5 linked regions of the Macaca fascicularis genome follow. The protein of the gene in region 5 interacts with the protein of the main gene of each other region in a biochemical or structural test. Links are inferred from orthologs where the notes say so. Each region holds a gene or a part of one and is shown on either strand. Other genes may lie near its edges.

Region 1 (4,075 bases), on a different chromosome or scaffold from region 5:
AACTTTTCCGAAAGCAATGTGGTAGTATGTATCAAACACATTGAAAATGAGCAAATTCTTTTGACTCAGCAATTCACTTTATCCCAAGAAAGTAAGAACACTCAAAGACTGACCTATAATAATATTTTAAATGATGTTTATAAAAGCCAGAAACTAGAAAATAAAAAGGAAGGCAAATCACAGACTGATTAAATAAATCAGTTTGGATCAATAATCATGTAAGTTCTCGAAAAACTTACTTGACAGAAGGTTGTTCAGAGGATTTTTGTAATAATGTTTTTCCACTGAAAACACAGAACATACAGTACAGTTCCACTGTTATTAACGTTGAACCATATTAGTAGCTATCCAAAGGTTTAGAAAAATAACTACAGTTGACATTTTGGTGTAGGTCTCTGGGTGGCAGGCTTGTTTTGTCTTTTTATTTTTTCTTACCTAATCAGATTTGTCTTACACGTGCATCTTCTACAGGCCTGGCGCGGTGGCTGACGCCTGTAATCCAGCACTTTGCGAGGACGAGGCGGGCGGATCACGAGGTCAGGAGTTCGAGACCAGCCTGGCCAGCATGATGAAACCCGTCTCTACTAAAAATACAAAAAATTAGCTGAGCATGGTGGCGCACGCCTGTAGTACCAGCTACCGGGGAAGCTGAGGCAGAAGAACTGCATGAATCCGGCAGGCGGAGGTTGCAGTGAGCTGAGACTGCACTATTGAACTCCAGCCTGGGAGACACAGCGAGACTCTGCTTCAAACAAAAAAAAATTATCTTCTACAATCCTCAACTTCCTTCTTAGACTGCGTTCTCTATATTAAAAAATTAAGACTTCCACTATTTAGTAATGGCACTAGGTATCAGACATTTTTCTATTATGCAAAACGCTGTATTCAAACAGTGCCTGAATAGATGATTCAATTTTTAAAACTGTTACTTATAATACTATAAAAATCTGTTAATGATAGAAAGTCAACGAGTTGACAGTGCCATACTTCTAATTTGTCAATGAATATTTAGCCAACCAATTTATGTTAAAAACGAAATGATGACTGACAAGCAAGAGGCAATAGTAAGTAACTTGCTGCTCATATATGTTTCCTTCCAGGTTTTCTAAAAGTTACACTAAATCAAGCTTCATTTTTATTCTTCGGCCATATCCCTGATTCCTCAGGACAAGTGAGGTTTTTTCCCCCAAAGAAATGAAGATTTTTGATTTTCTAAAGCTCAAAAATGCAAAATCTGACGCATATGGTTCACTGAGATGTGGTTATCAACTTACACCAAGCCTAACTTACCACAAAATAGAAAATATCAGAGAAAGGAGTTCACAAGCAGAAAGTCTCTTCTTTCTAACAATAGAGTCTTGTCCGATATTAGACAACACTGCATTTTGTTGCCGTTTTAGCTACAAGGATGGGTATGCAATATGCAGTAACTATTCCAACAGCTTCAAGCAAGTAATATGCTACGACTAGAGAAAGTAGCAGTTAGGTCCCAAACAGCAAAAATGTAAAAAAGATGTAAGCAGAAGCCTCACCATCTGAAAAGGCCCATCAGCACCTCTTCCGAGAAATAGTTCCCTTCCCCCACCCTTTAAGTAGGCACTTGAGACTGCCAAGATCCATTTCTTTATTAACTGGTGCCCACTTGGGGCAACTGTACACCAAGCTGCTCTAAGGCCTACTCTAATCCCTTCCAAAAGTGCTCAAATGAGGCTAAGGCCGGGGTAACCCTCGTCGGGGCCCAATTCTTCCTGACTCCTCTTCCCCACCCCACCTCCTCCGCCCCGCCCCAGCAGGCGCTCGCCCAGCCAAAGAAAGGACACCGGGGCCAGGGACTGGCAGAAATTGCCCGCAAGAGAAGGCTTAGGCGGCCGAAGGCCTCCGCCATAGCAGGACTTGGGAAGCACCGCCCCCAGAGTACCTCCCCACACCCGGCTAATCGGCGAACCTCTGCTTTCGACACCCTCTATCCCCAGCAGAGGCAGCGGAGAAGACAAGGCCGGGAGGCACCGGGCTGGGCTGCGCACCAGGCCCAGGCCTGTCCCTTGGGACCGCGCGTGCAGCCTGAATCCGCTCCCCGGTTGAGCCCGGTCCAGCTGGCGCGGCGGCCACCCTCACCTGGATGACCTCGTTGACCTCCCGGATACATTCCACCATGTGTTGTAGAATCTGCTCGGCCGTGAGCACCTCGTAGCGGTAATCCTCCTCCTGCTCGTGCCCCGGCCCGCCACCACCGCCGCCGCCGCCGCCGCCACCGCCACCGCCGGGCCCCAGAGCGCTGCCGCCGCCACCGCCCGTCTCCCCGCACAGCAGTCCGTCCCGCTCCCCGCCGACGCCCAGGCCGGGCTCCACCAGCTCCACCTCGCCCAGATCCAGGGTATCATCGTCCGGCTCGTCGTCGTCTTCGTCCTCCTCCTCCTCGGCGCCGCTGTCCTCCTCACTGCACTCCTCGTCCTCGTCGAACTCGTAGTTGTAGCCCTCGTCCGAGTCCATGGCGCGACGCGCGGGGGCCCGGCGGACGCTGGCCGAGGCGGGGAGAGGGCGGGGACGCCGAGGCCCCGGCTCTCGCTCCGGCTCCGGCTGATGTCCGGACGCAGGCCTGGCTCCGGCCCCGCGGGCCGCGGCTCCTCCCCAGGAGCGGCGGTTGGCGTTTGACTGCTGGTGGCGGCGGGGAGGGCGCGGAGGAGGGAGGGAGGGAGCGAGGGGGCCGCTTGCTGCCCGCCTCAGTCAGACGCGGCTCCGCTCCGGCCTCCGAGAGAAAACAGTCCCCAGCGCCACCTCTACGGCCGCTGCTATCGCTACTGAGCCAACAAAGGGGCGTGCGTCACCGCGTCGCGTTGCGTCGTCGCGTCACTCCTCTTTGCGTCACTGCGCCCCGCCCCGCCGCCCCTGCGTGGAGCCCGGGGAGACCCCACGGCCCGGCCTACCTGGGCCTAGGACTTGAGCAGGAATTGCCTTCTCGGTTCGGTCCGCTGCCGCTGTGAGGGCCGAGCGGAAACCCGTAGAGCTTTTATGTGAAGAGATTGCGGCCTCCTGGTCACCAGTCGCCGAGAGAGGGACCCCTGGACCGCCTAGGTGGTGGTGTTTGCCGCAGGCCATAGGGATCCAGCCCCCTCCGGCAGTCCCATGGGGACGCGGCCTTCCCACCCGGGCGGAAAGGCGCTTCCCGCCCGCCCTGCGGTAATCCCGGAAGCCGTGATCTGTTAATCTAAAATTTCTGTTGCTTTGGCTACTGATGGAAACCTGTTGTAAGTGGAACCTCTAAACTGTATGACAGGCGAACCCACTTTAGGTAGCTGTGTGATTCTGTTCACTTGTACAGACATGCTGTGGTTTTTAAGTCTCCTATAATGACGTCATTTTAAAGAGGCATTTCCTCAACCCCGCTGATTAGAGCGCCTCTTGAGGGCCCTAAACAATGTAAACAGCGATGGTTTTCATGAATTGAGCACTGTGTAAGGGCTTTACATATATTCTGTTTCATCTTCATGGAGCCATAGTACCCATTTTATACCTGAGGAACCTGAAGCTCAGAAAGGAAAAGGGACCTGGCCAAGACCACATAACCCTTGCCCTATTTTAGCCACTGGATGCCCCAAAACATGAATCATAAAAATGCATTGTAATGCATATGTATTATATACTGTATAGTACATAAAAGACATGAATGCTTCAACAAAATACAGGCAATAATAGAAATATCTACAAGGGCCAAATGTAGCAAGAGAGATAATGCTTGAATCTCATCTGAAAGTGTGCTATGTGAGCTGAGTGTTGTTGAATGGCTAGTTCAACAGAGAAGGCAGGGAAGATGGTCTGGCCACAGAGACCAAGCAAAAGCGCAGAAGGTGTCAAGTAATTAATAGTTTGGGAGCTTAAAGTGCATGGAGGGTAGATGGCAAAATATTAGGCAAGTTAGTCAGGGGTCATGTCAGTAAGAGCATTTTATGCCTTTTTAAGAGTGGGCTTAAATCTTTGTAAACAGGACATGAGAGCCAGACAAGTGTTATGAAGGAAGAAGAGGCATAAGAAGGCTCCCTCTTGAGATAATCTGAAGAATTGGCCAGATTGAAAACCT
Region 2 (3,990 bases), on a different chromosome or scaffold from region 5:
CCTGCACCTGTAATTCCAGCTACTAGGGAAGCTGAGGCAGGAGAATTGTCTGAATCTTGGAGGCGGAGGTTGCAGTGAGCCAAGATGGGGCCACTGCATTCCAGCATGGGTGACAAGAGTTGAGACCTTGTCTCAAAATGAAAAATACTACTAGTCATGACATGCAAGGCAAGCACTTGCTGCCTTTAACAAAATGACACCAAGGTGTCCATCTCAAAACAGGAAGCAGGGTGAAGGAGACACTGTTCAGCATTACTTATATGTCAGCTCAGATGACGCAGACTCACCCACCCATAGCTCACATGTCTATGTAGCCTTACGGAAAGTGAAGTGTTAGAGCCCTTGCTCACCACACTGCTACAAATGATAATCCTATCCCCAGTTCTCTATTAAATTACATTCTACATACAGAAGCCTACATTACATTTTAAGACTTTTGCAGCCGGGCGTGGTGGCTCACGCCTGTAATCCCAGCACTTTGGGAGGCCGAGGCGGGGGGACAATGAGGTCAAGAGATTGAGACCATCCTGTCTAACACAGTGAAACCCCATCTTTACTAAAAATACAAAAAAATTAGCCGGGTGTGGTGGCGGGTGCCTGTAGTCCCAGCTACTCGGGAGGGTGAAGCAGGAGAATGGCATCAACCCCGGAGGCGCAGGTTGCAGTGAGCCAAGACTGCACCACTGCACTCCAGCCTGGGCAACAGAGCAAGACGCCGTCTCAGAAAAAAAAAGGACTTTTGCTCTTCCAATTCCTTTAACCTAAAGCATCTTTGCCCCAACGGTCTTATCTGTAAAAATACAGATAAACTCTGCAGTAATATGAATGCATGAAGAATGAAATGCACTGGCAATTTCCTCCATAGCAGCATCAATGAAATGATTTCATGACACTGTACTTCCAATAATTTGACCCTGTATTTTAGCCAGTAAGATTGCCTGAATGCCACTTACGGTGGTATGGTGAATTTTACTTTACTACCCATCCTTAAAGGGCAAGCGCACACCATCTCCTTACAGACATTCGAAGCCTATTTCCTTTCTTCATAAATAGCCATAAGGGCTCCTTTGTATTCTTCTTAATAATGTTTATCAATGGGCATGGTGGCTCACGCCTGTAATCCTAGCACTTTGGGAGACCGAGGCAGGCGGATCACCGGAGGTTGGGAGTTCAAGACCAGCGTGACCAACATGAAGAAACTCTGTCTCTACTAAAAAATACAAAATTAGCTGGGTGTGGTGGTGCATGCCTGTAATCCTAGCTACTTGGGAGGCTGAGGCAGGAGAATCACTTGAACCCGGGAGGTGGAGGTTGTGATGAGCCGAGATCATGCCATTGCACTCCAGCCTGGGCAACAAGAGCGAAACTCTGTCTCAAAAAAAAAAAAAAAAAAAAAAATGTTTATCACCCAATGCCGTGACTTCCTCAAGTTCTAACCAAAACTAACCTCCTGGGTGAAAAGGCATGTTTCAGGAAATTCACAGTATTGCTCCCCACACAACAGACTTAAATACCTGAATCTGTTGACTCAGAGGAGCCCATTCTCTGCAGATTACTGTTGTTCTTCACCTCCAGTGGTTGCTCATAATCACTGAAACCAACAGAAATAAACCATGAGTGATTTATAGGATATAATTAAAAGGTCACATGCAGGAGATAGGCCATGAGATTAAGCAGCAGCCACTTTAAGAAGCAGATTAAGAAGCAAAGATCCCACTTTGCCACTCTGAACACCCAATTAGCACTTGGGCAAAGGAGAAAAAAGGAGTGGGTGGGCATGACCTTGGACCACACTGCAGGTTATGATGGCTATGGCAAATATTGGGGTATTTCCTAAAACAAGAGCATGTGTCCTAGGTACTGTGACAGAGTTGGGATGAAAGTTGAACAGGGCACTTTCTGCTTTTCAGAAGTCGGGAAATGCACAAGACATGTGCTTAGCAAATGGGATGCCAGAGATTGAAGGGAAAGTAGCTCTTCCGCCGGAAACACCGTGGAATGCATTTTTTGCTATCAGGAAAAGCCCAGGAAGCTTTCAGAAAGTTAGGTAAAAAGACCTGGCCTTAGGAAAGCAGCAGAGTGGACATCAGGAATGTGCACGGGTCGAGGGACTGAGATGATTTTACATAAACGCCAGGAAAGAAAATGCCATGGTCCTTTATTGAGAAGGAACAAAGATCACAGCAAACTAAGATCCTGAGGGTGGTTTAGCAAAGGGTGAATGTGAGCGCCTAGAAGAGCCTGATTTTCCCCGCGGGGGTAGATTCCAAAGAGCTTCCAGGGATACAGACAGAAGTACAGTACGGAGCAATCCGAAATGGGTGAAGGTGGGCCTGGCTCGGGCTTAGGCCCGAGATCTACACCTCTTCCCCTGGGAGGTCCGGACCGCCTCTCCCGCCCAACATTCCGCCCGGGCGGGGGTGCACATGGCGGGCCCTAGCCCGGCTGGTCCCCGAGCGGCGAACCCGGACGGAAGGGTCTCGCCCTTCTCCCGGTCCGTTTCTTGGCCTGATCTCCCCGAGGCCGACGCCGAGGCCAGAGGCCTGGGACACCGCCCGCCGGTCTCTCCTCACCTGCCCAGCCCCTGCAGCTGGTCCATAGTGACGGTCAGGTTAGTGACAGGCGACAGTCCCCCGGCGGCTGGCGCGCCAAATAGCGCCTTCACGACGGGCTGCGGCGCGGGAGGGGGGCTGCAGGCGAAGAGCAGGCGGCGGCGGTGCGGGGGCTCCGGGCCCAGTTCCATGGCGGCGCCCGGCCTCGCAGATCTCCAGCTCCCTCTTCCTCCGCCTCCGCCGCGACCGCCCCGCCCCGCACACACCGGCCTCGGCCGCGCGCCACCGGCGCCCGCGGGTCAAACACAAACACGACTCCGCGGTTCAGGGACGCGGCTGCCGCGGGCAAGCGGCGCGGCCGGGCGGGTGTGCGGACCCTCCAGGCGCCAGCCACAGGCACGGGTGCTTCCCTCTCACACCGCGAGGCCAGCGGGCGGGCGGGCGCCGGCAACCTGAAGATTAAATCCAAACAAACGCGGCGGGTCAGCGAGAGAAGGCGGGCGAGAGCCTCGAGGCAACGGCCCAGACTCAAGCTGTCTTCGCTGTTCTCCCACCCGCTTGCCCAGCTCTGGGTAGCAGAAAACCGAGCCGACCTCCACCTCTTACCCAGGCTGTCGCAGCCAATCTGGCCTTTCGCGGTAATAGCAGCTCAGTGGGGGCCGCTGCTGCCCCGCCCCCCTTTCCTAGTTGGCGCCAAACGGAATCCACCAATCAGTAAGCAACTTCTCCTCCTCGCAACCGAATGGCAGCTAGGCTGGGCCAATGAGAGGGGAAGAAGGAAGCGGCTCGCGGGACTCTGCCAGGTCATCCGCTCTCAGAAGGGGGCGGAGCCTAGAGTGGACTAGCGCGGATCAAAATGAGCGGGGGGATCAGAGGTCAATGAAAACTCCCAGCAGACCCTGCGAGACACTGCTCGCGGCTGAAAGGCCCCCTTGCCCCGTCGCATGCTGGGAAGCGTAGTTCTCATCGCGAGGCGCCGTCCAGTTAGCTTCGGCCTCCGTTGGGCCTCCACTACCTCGCCCCCAACCTGGCGCCCGACACCCTGAGGGAATGTGGAGGCTAAGGAAGAGCTGTGGAGGTCTGGCCGGATCCAGCCTTGGCTCGGCCTCTAACCGTGCAGTATTGTGGACCCCTTTCTTCCGCCCCGGGCCTTCAGGCCCCAATTTATAATGAGGGAGGGAATGGAATGACCCCCAGGACTGGACTCGACCACCAGGGCCCAACTCTGGAGGGCTCACAGACCCCGGGTGCTGCTGGCCTTATGGGATTTGAACCCCGCAGTACAACATGTGCTGTGGGCCTCAGCATTGTTTGCTCACTTCCATTCTAGCCCTTACTGGATTCTCTTAGAATCATTTCTTTCTTCCCACGACTTCTTAGCCCCCTGGGAGCACCTAGAGAGCAATAACAGCAAATACAATAATAGCAAATAATAGCT
Region 3 (3,999 bases), on a different chromosome or scaffold from region 5:
TCACTATAGAGTAAATCATTTTTTCAAGGAAACCAGAGGGCGTGTCATACAGCATCACTGAATATTCTAATATGAGATGAAGCTGTTATGCTTCCTTATGAACTTTATAAATCTTCATTTTTATGAAGCTTAGAATTCATCCCCCTTCCCTCTTCCACTGTTTTCCCGGGGTCACAGTTGTAGTATAGTTTGTCCAATGGATTTCGCATGGTCATTGTACCTGGAATATGTCACGCTCTCTACTCCAACCGCCCCCAAACTCTTCTCAGCAGAGATAGGCTTAAAGCAGCTTGCTTTTAGGCGGCGACGCAAACACACGTAGCCAGTTGAGCGACAGCAAGCAACCAAATGGCTTTGCTGGAGGCCCCCTGCGTTGCACGGGTAAAGCCCGTTGCAAAATACCGTCCTTTCATTTATTCCTCTGTTACTATTTATGAGACTTGTCAAGGCTGCAAGGGCATGCGCAGCCTTCCCACCACACAGGACCCGCTGGGGTCTCCGGCTCCCCTAAAATTAAACCACTGTCTTTCGTTCCGACTCATGTTTAGCTGTTGTGCGTATTTTACAGATAAAGGAGGGATCCTGTCCACAGACCCAATTCTAAGGGCCGCCTTCTCCCCCACGGAGGAAGAAGCTTCCTGGCAAAAGGACGAACAGGTGCGACGCCCGCATTTCGCAGCCTCTCACCTGGCCAGCGGGCTGGGCTACTGTCCCCACTCAGCAGCTAGGGACGTGGGCCCCGCGGCGGCGGCCACTTGGGGTCTGCCGGGTCCCCTCTCTTTCCGCCTGCGCTCGGCCTCGGACCCCACACTCAAAAGCGCCTCACGCGTTCCGCCTTAGGCTCACTGTCCGATCTCGCCAGACAGCGTCTGGATGGGACCGGGAAGCGGCGGCCGTCACAGCTGTTCAGGTTCTGGGATCCACGCTCAGAGACGACAGCGCTGGTGATCACCAGAAGGCCTGCCGGCTCCCAGGAAAGAAAAATCCGTCCACAGTCCAGCGGCTGACATTTCCCAGTCAGCCGTAGCACCGCCCGCTTCCGCCTCCCCGCCTACCCCATGGGCCGACCAGTCCCGCTCCCGCGGGGGGTTGTGGGTATCTGGAAGGCGGGTAAAGCTGCAAGGGAAGGAAGTTAGGGCGAGCCCGTCGGACTACGAAACGGGACGGAAACTACAATTCCCAGCAGGCCGTGGGGCCTCAGAGTGCGGCCGCGAAGCAAAGCGGGCTGTAGAGTCTTGCGCGCGCGGTGGGGATGGAACGTTGCTAGACTTAGCGGGTCTGGCTCCTGGGGGTCCGAGCAGCACGCTCGGAGCCGCCGCGCGCCAAATCGGGAATCCGGGAGGCGAGCAGCTCTGCAATTAATGCACGTATTTTAAACTCCCGAGCCTGCGGACGCTATGCACAGGTAAACGGATTCAAAAAGGGAAGAGCATGAATGGACCCTCTTAATAATTCTTTTAGGCCGCGAATATCGCTACTGGCTAATATTGTTAGTAATGCTGTTAAGTGAATGGTTGCTTAGCCCCTTCTTGGGGAAAGTGTGAATGGATGAATGCCTTAGTGCGGGGATCAGCGTGCGGTTTTATCTGGCTTCCTTAATTGGGCTTTTCTGCCACCGTTTTCAATCAGTGTATGATTGCCCTGTCTCTCTCCTTGTCTGTTCCCTCCGCTGGGAGAAATTCTTGAGGCCTTCTGCAGGATCGTAAGTCAAAGAGCCTTCTCGATTTGTTCTTTTCATTTCTTCATTTTCTTGGTAACTCTCCGCGGGCACGTAAAAAAATGCGATTGTGTTAGCTGCTGTGAAGGTTTTCCACAATACATAAACTGCAGCTTCTTTAATGCCTTCCTTGGAATTATTTATGGGTGTGTTTTCGAAAGGAACCGGGGGTATTGTGCACTTCTGCAGGAAGCACCTTCAGGAGATTCCAGACCTGAGTAGCAACGTTGCCACCAGCTTCACGTGGGGATGGGATTCCAGCAAGACTTCTGAACTGCTGTCAGGCATGGGGGTCTCCGCCCTGGAGAAAGAGGAGCCCGACAGTGAGAACATCCCCCAGGAACTATTCTCAAACCTGGGCCACCCGGAGAGCCCCCCACGGAAACGGCTGAAGAGCAAAGGGAGTGAAAAAGACTTTGTGATTGTCCGCAGGCCTAAGCTAAATCGAGAGAACTTTCCAGGTAAGGATATGAGGGTAAAAATGTAAGTTATGCAAAGGGTGGATTTAGCTATGTTGTTGGGAAACCTTTGTTCAGGGATCTTTACCATGGGTTCCTTTTAAGATTGCCTAATTCTGAAGCTGTTTTTTCAACACAATAGGGCAAGTCGTCAAGTATGCAGGAATCTTGGTAGGTATATATGTGTGTGTGTGTATGTGTGTATATATATGTGTGTGTGTGTGCGTTCTGGTGCATAATCACCCTGAAAATTTTAACCCATGAGAAGACATTCCTGCCTTTTTCCTTAGAAGGGAATCTGTCTTCCTAAAGGCCAGCTCGGTGCCACCAATTAATAGAAACAAAGCAGTGGTCTTCTTGTAGGATTCTTTTGCTTTGTACCCCTGAGTGAGCTTTTTGTCTTAATCACTTAAGTTATTTATCAGTGGACTGCTGAAGTGAACGTTCACCTAAGTGGGGGAGAATTATCTCCCCAGGCCCACTCCCACTCCCATATTATCTTCTCTGGTGTGTTCTGTCTCCATTACTGCTGACACTATCTGTTTAATCACCCAACCCAAAAACCTGAGAGTCAGTCCGATTCCCACCGCCCCCAACATCCACTCATTCATTGCATCTTTCTCTCTTCTCTGGTAACTATTTCTCAAGTTCTTATCTTCTCTTGCCTCAACTATTGGAGCAGATTCATAATTCCAACCTTCTCCCCAGATCTATCCCCTAGAACTAGAATGGATTGACTGAAAAACTATTTCTTCCCTCCTTAATAGCTCCCCATCCCCTAGTTTCTCAAGCAGGTGAATGAGTGCCTCCCAGAGTGAACCAGAACCCTGGAGTATGCAAAAGCCATAGGGTAAATAGGGCATTGACCTGGGGTTATCAGTTTTTCTTACTAGTAAGCTATTTAAAACAGTAATGCAGCAAATATTTGCTGAGCACATACCATGTGCTAGGCAGTGTTCCAGGTGCTGGAGATACACCAGTGGGCACAACATAAACATTTCTGCTCTCAGGGAGCATCCATTCTAGTGAGAGAAAACAATAAACACAATAACTATTTTTATATAGTATGTTAGAAGGTGATAAGTGCTATGGCTAAAAACAAAAATGGAACAAGCCAAGAGGGAATGCAGGTCCTGGGGTGGGAAGATAGAGTGCACTTTTAAACCAGGTATTGAGGGAAAGCCTCAACTGGACAGTGACCTTTAAGCAAAGACATAAAGGAGGCAAGGGAGTGTGCCATGCAGATATCATGGAGAAAAGAGCTCCAGGCAGAAGGAATAGCCAATGCAAAGACCCTGGTGCATAAATGTGACACATTTGTTCCAGGAACAGGGAAGCCATATTCTAAGAGTAGAATGAGCAAAGGAGAGAGTTGGGAGAGATCAGGCTGGAGGTAATGTTGAGCACAGTTGTGATGGGACCTGATTTAACCTTCTAAAAAGGACACACTGATGTGTTGAGACTCAACCGCAGGGGTGTCAAGGGTAGAAACTTAGGGTCTTTTTTAAATTTCATATTTTCAAGACAGAGTCTTGCTCTGTCGCCCAGGCTAGAGTGCAGTGGCATTCTCTTGGCTCACTGTCTTCACCTGGATTTGAGAGATTCTCCTGCCTCAGCCTCCTAAGTAACTGAGACTACAGGCATGCACCACCACGCCCAGCAATTGTTTTGTTTTTTGTAGAGTTGGGCGGCGGCGGGGGGGGGGGGGGGGGGGGGTGGGGGGGGTGGGGGTGGGGGGTGGGATCTTACCATCTTGTCCAGGCGGGTCTCAAACTCCTGGACTCAGGCGATCCTCCAGCCTTGGCCTCCCAAAGTGCTGGGATT
Region 4 (4,268 bases), on a different chromosome or scaffold from region 5:
TTATATGAATTTGAAAGCTGCATTTATTATTTAATGCCTCATTCCCAGACAGGTGCTTACTCAGTAGCAAAATCTGCCTTAGCATACCAAGTGTAAAGCTATGTAACAAATAGGAAGGTTTAAAAAATAGATACTATCATGCAGACAGCTAAAATATTTGTATGTATTTTTAATCTTTTTTTCCTCTAATGATACTTAGAATATTTTATTTTTGTTACTACAAATAATGCAGATGAAATATGAATTGTATTAGTAGCAGAGACACATGAGCTAAAGCTTGTATTGTTTAAAGCACATCATCTTAAAAGGCCTGTCAGGAAACAGTGTTCATATTAAGTGGGCTTTCAGTACTCTAACAAGATGACATCATTTTCTAAGAGACAAGTGTTGTTAGAGTAACTGCTAGGATATTCCAAAATTTCTCATTATAGATTATTTAATGAGTTTATGTTCCCAGTTGTATATCAGCTCATGTTAAATTTTGCAAGAGTTTATGATTTCTAAGAGCTCATCTTCTGTAAGGCCCTTTGCTGAGTGGGGTTAGTTAGCAATCAGTAATTAAAGGGGATCTTTTTACCTCGTGTAAATAGCGTAAGAGTAATTTTGGGCGGTTTAGAAACGATGAGTTATCAGGAAGGTGCTTATCAATGGGCAGAGTATATCATTTGCCCAGGATTCTAACAACCTAGCCTGCCCCCCACACACTGTGGGGGACCGTCTGCTACTTGCCAAGTAATTGCCATTTTTGGCAAAGACCACCCAGGACATGGGCTCAGAGTCCATCCTAGGGCTGGCCAACCTCTGTAAATCTCGTGTCCCCTGATACGGAGCGAGTGCATTCAATTCAGGAAGATCACTTACGACTGAGTTTTTCATCATGGCTTTGACTGTGAAGCCCTCAGAAACCAGGGAGTGAGGCTGGTGCACCGGGAGCGGCTGTTGTGCCAGCAGCTTGGTCCTCTTCGGCATCTTGTCTGGGCATTTGTTTAAGCTCAGGGTCTCTTTTTCTGCCACCATCTTCCTAGAAAATGTCTTGTTCTCATAAAAAGTGTAGTAAAAGAATCAGTGGGTTTTACGGATGTGAGCAGGAGGTCGGGAAAAAAATGTCAAAAGGCGCGTTAATGGTAGAAATTCAACCCCTCGTAGTGCCCAGGTTGATCCAGATGTTTGGCAGCTCCTAGGTGAAGGGAGTTTAGGGGAGGGGTGGGGCGGGAAGAGGGCAGGACCGTAGCTAGAGCTGCAACAAGCTTCCAAAGGTAAGCCTCCCGGTTGCTAAGCGACTGGTCAACACTGCGGGCGCATAGCTCCGCCCCTCGGTGACGTACGATTGCTGGGCCTGAAGCCGGAAAGGGAGGCGGCGGTGAGCTGGAGGGCAGGAGGCGTGAGGAGAAACTACGCATTAAAACTACGACTCCCAGCAGGCCCTGGGCCGCGTACCCTCCGCGCGTGCGCATTCCTAGGGCCCGGCGCCGGGGCGGGGAGCCCTGGAAGATTTAACCCAGGAGAGCCGCTGGTGGGAGGCGCTGGCTGGCGCCGGTGCGCGCGTAGGCCCTTTCCTGGCCCGCAGCCGCCACCTGCCCAGTGACCATGATAGGTACGTGGGTACCTGCCAGGTACAGCCTCATCTGCGCCGCCCTGCGCCCCGGTGTGGCCTCGGCCGACCTGGACCCCAGGTGCCAACTGTCAGTGACGGGGCCAAAGTGCCCATGCCGTACCCGGCCCGCACCGCCGGGCTCTCCAGCTCAGCGACGCGGGCCCGGGGCCCCAGTGTGTGCGTTCCAAGCCCTCGCCCGCCCGCCCCTGCTCTGAGCGTTCCCGTGAAGACCGCCTCACCGGGGACGCCAGGCGGCCCCGCACCCCCGGTCCTCGCTCATGGTCCCCCGGACCGTGTAGGGTCCCGAAGCCTTCGCCCCGCCGCCGCCCCTCGCCCTCGAGGCCCTGGCCAGTTGTCGTGCGGTTCAGGACCCATCGAGACCCACTCTTTGTGGGGCTCTTTCAGGAAACCCCAGCAAAGCATTAAACTCTAATGGAAGGCACCTGGTGAGGGTGGCTGGGCGCCACAGAAACTCCTCCAGATGAATCTAAACTTCTTGCTCCCTCGGATGTTTCCTTTTAAACTTCTCGTTGGAGGGCTGAGGTGAAAGAAAAATTGAGAGTAAATAATAGCCAAGATTACATCTACTGCCTTTTGCAATATAACTTTTTTTTTTTTTTTTTTTTTTGGTAAAACACAATGACCGAGGTGCAATTTTGTGAACAAAACTTAGTGGCATCAGAGTTGTTCATGAACACTTGATGTGTAAGATGAGCAAAGGTGCAAAGGTCCTCTTCCAGGGTTGTTGAACCAAAAACTACTTTAGGGGCTGTCCCTAAAAATGAATGGAAATGCACCATATGTTTAGAAGCCAGTGCTATATGGGGTTTCATTATTGTGGAAGTTTCTCCAGGTTATGTATGGAGGGTTTAGTGAGCTTGTTTAGGGCTAATTCCTGAGGAGCGTCCCTTACAAAACACTTTTGATTGCAGTAAGTACGTTCGAAGTCAGATGTGGTCTGTCCAGAAGTAAGGTGAGAGGTGGATTCATAAAATATATGATCTTTATGCACTGAAAACACGTACTACATCTGTTTTTATTTATGAAGTTATTGTTAAAATGTAAACATTCTGCCCATCAGTGGGAGAATCAAGCCAGCTAACTGGCATTGTCTTTGTCTCTGTGGTAAAACAAGAATGTTGTTCAGCCTTCCCTTTCTAGCATGGTCTGACTTTTGGTGAATGACTTGAAAGTTAACCAAATTATGAAAAAGTTATAATTTTTTGAGTTTTCTTGAGCTCTTTTTAGGTGACATTTACGTAAGATTCACTTGTAAGCACAAGTCTGAACTGAATCAGAAAACCAAGTAGAAGAGATTTTCCAAAATCCGTGCTATCAGTAGTCTACAGGAAGAAAATAGCCTATACCTTATTTTGAAGACAGTTAAATACATTTTATTTTAATTTAACTTAATCTAGTGCACAGATAATTTTAAGAGAAACAAATTTATTGTAAAGCTATATGAAGACAGGCACTTAAGATCTGGGATTGGAGGCGTAAGCCACCACGCCCAGCCTCATTAGCCACATTTCAGTAAACATCTGAATGGCCAGTTTGAGATTTGGGTGTGGTGAACAGTGCTAAAGGTAGGTGAAAGTGAAAACCATTAAAAGGAAGCCTTGGAGTGATGGATTTTGTGTTTTTGTGACAAAAATTCAGAGCGAGGAAAGACATTATAGATTTTATCCAGTGATCAGTTGGAGATCAAAATGTAAATAGTATGTATCTGGGATTTTCTGTTAAAGGTAAGAGTGCTTCTCAAAGCTTGCTCCTTTCAGGCCTATGCTTTCTCTGTTACACTCACCTTGTTGCGGGATTCAGGAGGACGAGAGAGACCTCGGGTTGAAACAGGAGAATCTTGATCGAGTGCACTCAGGCCCAGCTGACTCACATGCAATAGACTGGGCCCAGAATAAAGACAGTACTTGACTTTTATACACACTTCACAAAAGGAGGTGGGCTAGCTTGAAGCAAACTTACGGTGGTGGCAAAGCAGGGATACAGAGGCAGGACAAAGGCAGGACTGCACATGGCCATCGCCAAGCAACCCAGATGTTCGTTATCTAGGTTTCCCTGGGCACAGGCTTATCCTATAACCTTCACTATGGTGCCCAGGCAGCTGTAGTTCAGGCCTACTCAGGCTTCTCATGACCTTCGTTGTGCTTCTTAGATAAAACAGAATACTTGAAATCACTAGTTACAGAGAACAAGAGTCTATAAACTGATTCCATAAAACAAAGGAAAATTTGTTTTTCTTCTCCCTGTGTTGAGGGAGTGCTGGGAGAGTCTCCAGAGCACATTCGATAATATTAGCAAGACTCTTCCTGGATCTGGGCTGTGCTGTTGCTGCCTCTGGGACAAGTTAGCCTAAAACAGGAAAACTTATTTCTTTTTCTTTTTAATTTTATTTTTCTTTAATTTCCCGCCCCAACCTTAATGCAAATAATATTCTGCCAGTTGGAGAAACGTAAAGATGGGTTTCCTGGTAGAAGAGGAGTAAACAAGACTGACTGCGACCTAACTGCTAGTGGAATGTGCCTTCCTTTTACTTTCTCAAAACCAAAGATTCCCTTCTTGGGATGAGGACTGTTTCATAAGTCCTTACATTTCCCACCTGGATTGCGATTGATATGTTGAATGCCCTGACCTGGGCAGCTATGGAAACGTAATTTAA
Region 5 (3,500 bases):
ATCTTGCTTTGAAACTTGGTGTACACTCAAGTTAAGGACATAGACTTAATTATTCTACCTCATCCACTGGTCCCTAAAAGGCCAACTTTGGAAACCGTTTGTCTGCTGATGGTTCACCTAGTTTGTTTGGGAACTGCTGCTGGACTCATCTATGTCCAAAGGCCTGCTCTCAGATGTGCCAGCCAGCTGGCCTTAGAGGGCGGCACCCAGCATTATGCCTTCAAGACTAGAATTCATTCTTCCTGAATGAAGAACAACTTACAGCGGTTGTAATGTGACCCTTTTTGAGTCAAGGAAATGCCACCCGCACATGGTACTAGAACTGAAAGGAAGCAGCCTTGCTCGCACAGCTGTTGGCAGGAGCTGTCATGGATAATTTGCATGCCCAATTCTTTGTACATTGGGTGGGGAAGAGCTTTATCTGGCTTTGCTCTTCCAACTGAAAGTGTTTGGGCTTCCTCTGAAGGCGACCAATGTGCTGTGGTCGCCACTCTGTGCTGTGTCTTTGAGGTAGCACTTAGAGCCCAAGTTTCCACGTTCATTATAGTGACCCCAGTTGTCTATTTTTTTAAAGCAGAGACCACCGCCAGGCTGGTGGTCTCTGCTTAAAAAAAAAAAAAAAAAGCCAAGTGCGGTGGTTCAGGCCTGTAATCTCAGCACTTTTGGAAGACAAGGCAGGAGGACGGCTTGAGTCCAGGAGTTCAAGACCAGCCTGGACAACATGGCGAAAACCCATCTCTACCAAAAAATACAAAAATTAGCTGGGCGTGCTTGTGCATGCCTGAAGTCCTAGCTGCTTAGGAGGCTGAGGCAGGAGGATGGCTTGACCCCAGGAGGCAGAGGTTGCAGTGAGCTGAGATCGCACCACTGCACTCCAGCCTGGGCAACAGAGGGAGACCCTGTCTCAAAAAAAAAAAAAAAAAGCCAAGTCTCAGACTTTCATACGGCTTCCATGCTAGTGGGATTGTTACCTGCCTAATATCTTCAGCAGAGTTACCATTTTATAACTTTAAAAATCAGACATCTTAGAGTAGGAATAGCTTAAGAAAATATTCTAAATGAACTTTAGTGTTTTTCAGATACTGAAAACTGAATACATATCTGAAACCTTTAAAAGAAAAGCATAGTGCTTTGGTTTATAATAGTTCCTTATTTTATTGGGTATTTGAATTAGCCTGCAAGATTCGAGATTCAGAGGTCTTAAGGAGTATCTAGACTAGCTTCCTGTAGACTTAATAGTATGACCTGTGACCATCACTTGATTTGGTTTTAACTAGGTGGATAGTCATTCTGTTTGTTTCGAGTTAAGGAAAAGAGAAAGTCCTTTATTGTTTAACATATTTGGCTAGTCGCGCAACAAAAAAAAATGTCACATTTGGTGGGTTTTTGTTTTAAACTGAGGGGACTTTAATATATATGGCAGCCAATTTACATTTTTGATCTTTTATACTCATGAACGTGAAGTGCTTATGTAAATATTTTTATTGACAATTCTGTTTTCCTTTTGTGAAATTTTAGTAGATGCGTGTACTCACTAAAAAACAAATCTTTGAGTTGTGACAAAAAATACCATAATGTATCTTTTTGGAAGCACTTTCAGAGGTCATGCCCAGTATCTTACTGAGTTGCAAGTGACTTTGCAGTGTTTTTGGGTAATGTAGGAGCTGTTTGCATCTTATCTCACCTCTCCTGTGTATTTTTCATTTACAGCCTTGGGACAATAATACAGGCTGTGCAGACCCCTGCTCCCTGATCCCCACACCTGACAAAGAAGATGATGAGCGGGTTTACCCAAACTCAACGTGCAAGCCTCGGATTATTGCACCATCCAGAGGCTCCCCGCTGCCTGTACTGAGGTCAGTGCCGACTCTACCACGTGGCTTCCAGGTCTCTTACTCCATACTCCCCTTTATCCCTCATAGCATGGACGCATTCTCACCCCTGTGTGGGCCTCATTTTTGTTGTGTGTTTTGTTGTAGCTGGGCAAATAGAGAGGAAGTCTGGAAAATCATGTTAAACAAGGAAAAGACATACTTAAGGGATCAGCACTTTCTTGAGCAACACCCTCTTCTGCAGCCAAAAATGCGAGCAATTCTTCTGGATTGGTTAATGGAGGTGAGCTTGAGTCTTCCTGTTGCCTTCATGAAAGCACTGAGCATTTCCAGCATTTTTGTGTATTAGGATCTCTGTGTGGTTGATTCCCTTGACACGTTCTCCATCTCTGAAGCTATATGGTATATTTACTGAGGTGGTCTTTCTGTTTTGCTTGTATTCTTAGCAAGAATTTCTGAAATCTTTTTTTTTTTCTTCTTTTCTTTTTTTTGAGATGGAGTCTTTGTCACCGAGGCTGGAGTGCAGTGGCAAAATCTCGGCTCACTGCAACCTCTGCCTCACAGGTTCAAGCGATTCTCCTGGCCTCAGCCTCCTGAGTAGCTGGGATTACTGGCACACGCCACCACACCCGGCTAATTTTTGTATTTTTAGAAGAGACAGGGTTTCACCATGTTGGCCAGGCTGGTCTTGAACTCCTGACCTCGTGATCCACCCACCTTGGCCTCCCAGAGTGCTGGGATTACAGGCCTGAGCCATCGTGCCTGGCTAAACTGCTTTTAAATGTACCCACTGGAACGCATATATCACCTCTTTGATAGCTACTGTCATAAATTATAAACACGTGTGAACAAGTTTATCTTAAGCAGGTCTGACATTGTTCCTTTTTAACTTCTTGGAATCCATTCCCTTTTGCCACCATTCCCATTTATTCTAATAAAATATACTGTTCAAATCCTGGCTGGGCACGGTGGGTCATGTCTCTAATCCCAGCACTTTGGGAGGCCAAGGCAGAAGGATCCCTTGAGCCCAGGAGTTGGAGACTAACCTGGGCAACATGGCAAGACCCCATGTCTTTTCTTTTTTTTTTTTTGAGACAGAGTTTCGCTCTTGTTGCCCAGGCTGGAGTGCAATGGTGCGATCTTGGCTCACTGCAACCTCTGCCTCCCGGTTTCAAGCGATTCTCTTGCCTCCAGCTCCTGAGTAGCTGGGATTACAGGCATACGCCACCATGCCTGACTAATTTTGTATTTTTAGTAGAGACAGGGTTTCTCCATGTTGGTCAGGCTGGTCTTGAACTCCTGACCTCAGGTGATCCGCCTGCCTTGGTCTCCCAAAGTGCCGGGATTACAGGTGTGAGCCACTGCACCCGGCCCTCAAGACCCCATTTCAACAAAACATAAAAAATTGTCAGGGTATAGTGGCTCACGCTTGTAGTCACAACTACTGCGGAGGCTGAAATGGGAGGATTGCTTGAGCCTGGGAGTTGGAGCCTGCAGTGAGCCATGATAGTGCCACTGCACTCCAGCCTGGGTGATCATGGGACTCTGTCTCAATTTTTTTTAGCACATTTTTAAAGATATTTGGACCATTGGAGTGGCTTCTGTATTTTGAGACAGAGTTGCTCTGTCACCTAAGCTGGAGTGTAGTGGTGCAGTCATGGCTCACTA

Evidence for each region.
Region 1: of the proteins of CCNE1 (region 5) and ARIH1, one has a biochemical effect on the other in vitro, tested with the Homo sapiens proteins (3 studies listed by BioGRID). The link is inferred for Macaca fascicularis from reciprocal best matches to the Homo sapiens genes CCNE1 and ARIH1.
Region 2: the proteins of CCNE1 (region 5) and CDC25A form a complex in vitro, tested with the Homo sapiens proteins (2 studies listed by BioGRID). The link is inferred for Macaca fascicularis from reciprocal best matches to the Homo sapiens genes CCNE1 and CDC25A.
Region 3: the proteins of CCNE1 (region 5) and SKP2 form a complex in vitro, tested with the Homo sapiens proteins (2 studies listed by BioGRID, with this or other methods). The link is inferred for Macaca fascicularis from reciprocal best matches to the Homo sapiens genes CCNE1 and SKP2.
Region 4: of the proteins of CCNE1 (region 5) and PRKN, one has a biochemical effect on the other in vitro, tested with the Homo sapiens proteins (2 studies listed by BioGRID). The link is inferred for Macaca fascicularis from reciprocal best matches to the Homo sapiens genes CCNE1 and PRKN.

Annotation. Positions count from the first base shown.
Region 1 is NC_088381.1:49,291,645-49,295,719, reverse strand, and holds the start of ARIH1 (E3 ubiquitin-protein ligase ARIH1), read right to left. Parts: upstream 2,801-4,075; 5' UTR 2,491-2,800; coding exon 2,116-2,490; intron 1-2,115. UniProt on the Homo sapiens protein: E3 ubiquitin-protein ligase, which catalyzes ubiquitination of target proteins together with ubiquitin-conjugating enzyme E2 UBE2L3.
Region 2 is NC_088376.1:111,123,734-111,127,723, forward strand, and holds the start of CDC25A (M-phase inducer phosphatase 1), read right to left. Parts: upstream 2,801-3,990; 5' UTR 2,744-2,800; coding exon 2,574-2,743; intron 1,592-2,573; coding exon 1,515-1,591; intron 1-1,514. UniProt on the Homo sapiens protein: Tyrosine protein phosphatase which functions as a dosage-dependent inducer of mitotic progression. Directly dephosphorylates CDK1 and stimulates its kinase activity. Also dephosphorylates CDK2 in complex with cyclin-E, in vitro.
Region 3 is NC_088380.1:36,439,747-36,443,745, forward strand, and holds the start of SKP2 (S-phase kinase-associated protein 2), read left to right. Parts: upstream 1-1,199; 5' UTR 1,200-1,397; coding exon 1,398-1,405; intron 1,406-1,906; coding exon 1,907-2,178; intron 2,179-2,317; exon of another isoform or gene 2,318-2,346; intron 2,347-3,999. UniProt on the Homo sapiens protein: Substrate recognition component of a SCF (SKP1-CUL1-F-box protein) E3 ubiquitin-protein ligase complex which mediates the ubiquitination and subsequent proteasomal degradation of target proteins involved in cell cycle progression, signal transduction and transcription.
Region 4 is NC_088378.1:8,403,053-8,407,320, forward strand, and holds the start of PRKN (E3 ubiquitin-protein ligase parkin), read left to right. Parts: upstream 1-1,468; 5' UTR 1,469-1,587; coding exon 1,588-1,594; intron 1,595-4,268. Other genes in the region: PACRG (parkin coregulated gene protein), read right to left, coding at 862-1,017. UniProt on the Homo sapiens protein: Functions within a multiprotein E3 ubiquitin ligase complex, catalyzing the covalent attachment of ubiquitin moieties onto substrate proteins. Substrates include SYT11 and VDAC1.
Region 5 is NC_088393.1:37,078,930-37,082,429, forward strand, and holds part of CCNE1 (G1/S-specific cyclin-E1), read left to right. Parts: intron 1-1,710; coding exon 1,711-1,856; intron 1,857-1,979; coding exon 1,980-2,115; intron 2,116-3,500. UniProt on the Homo sapiens protein: Essential for the control of the cell cycle at the G1/S (start) transition.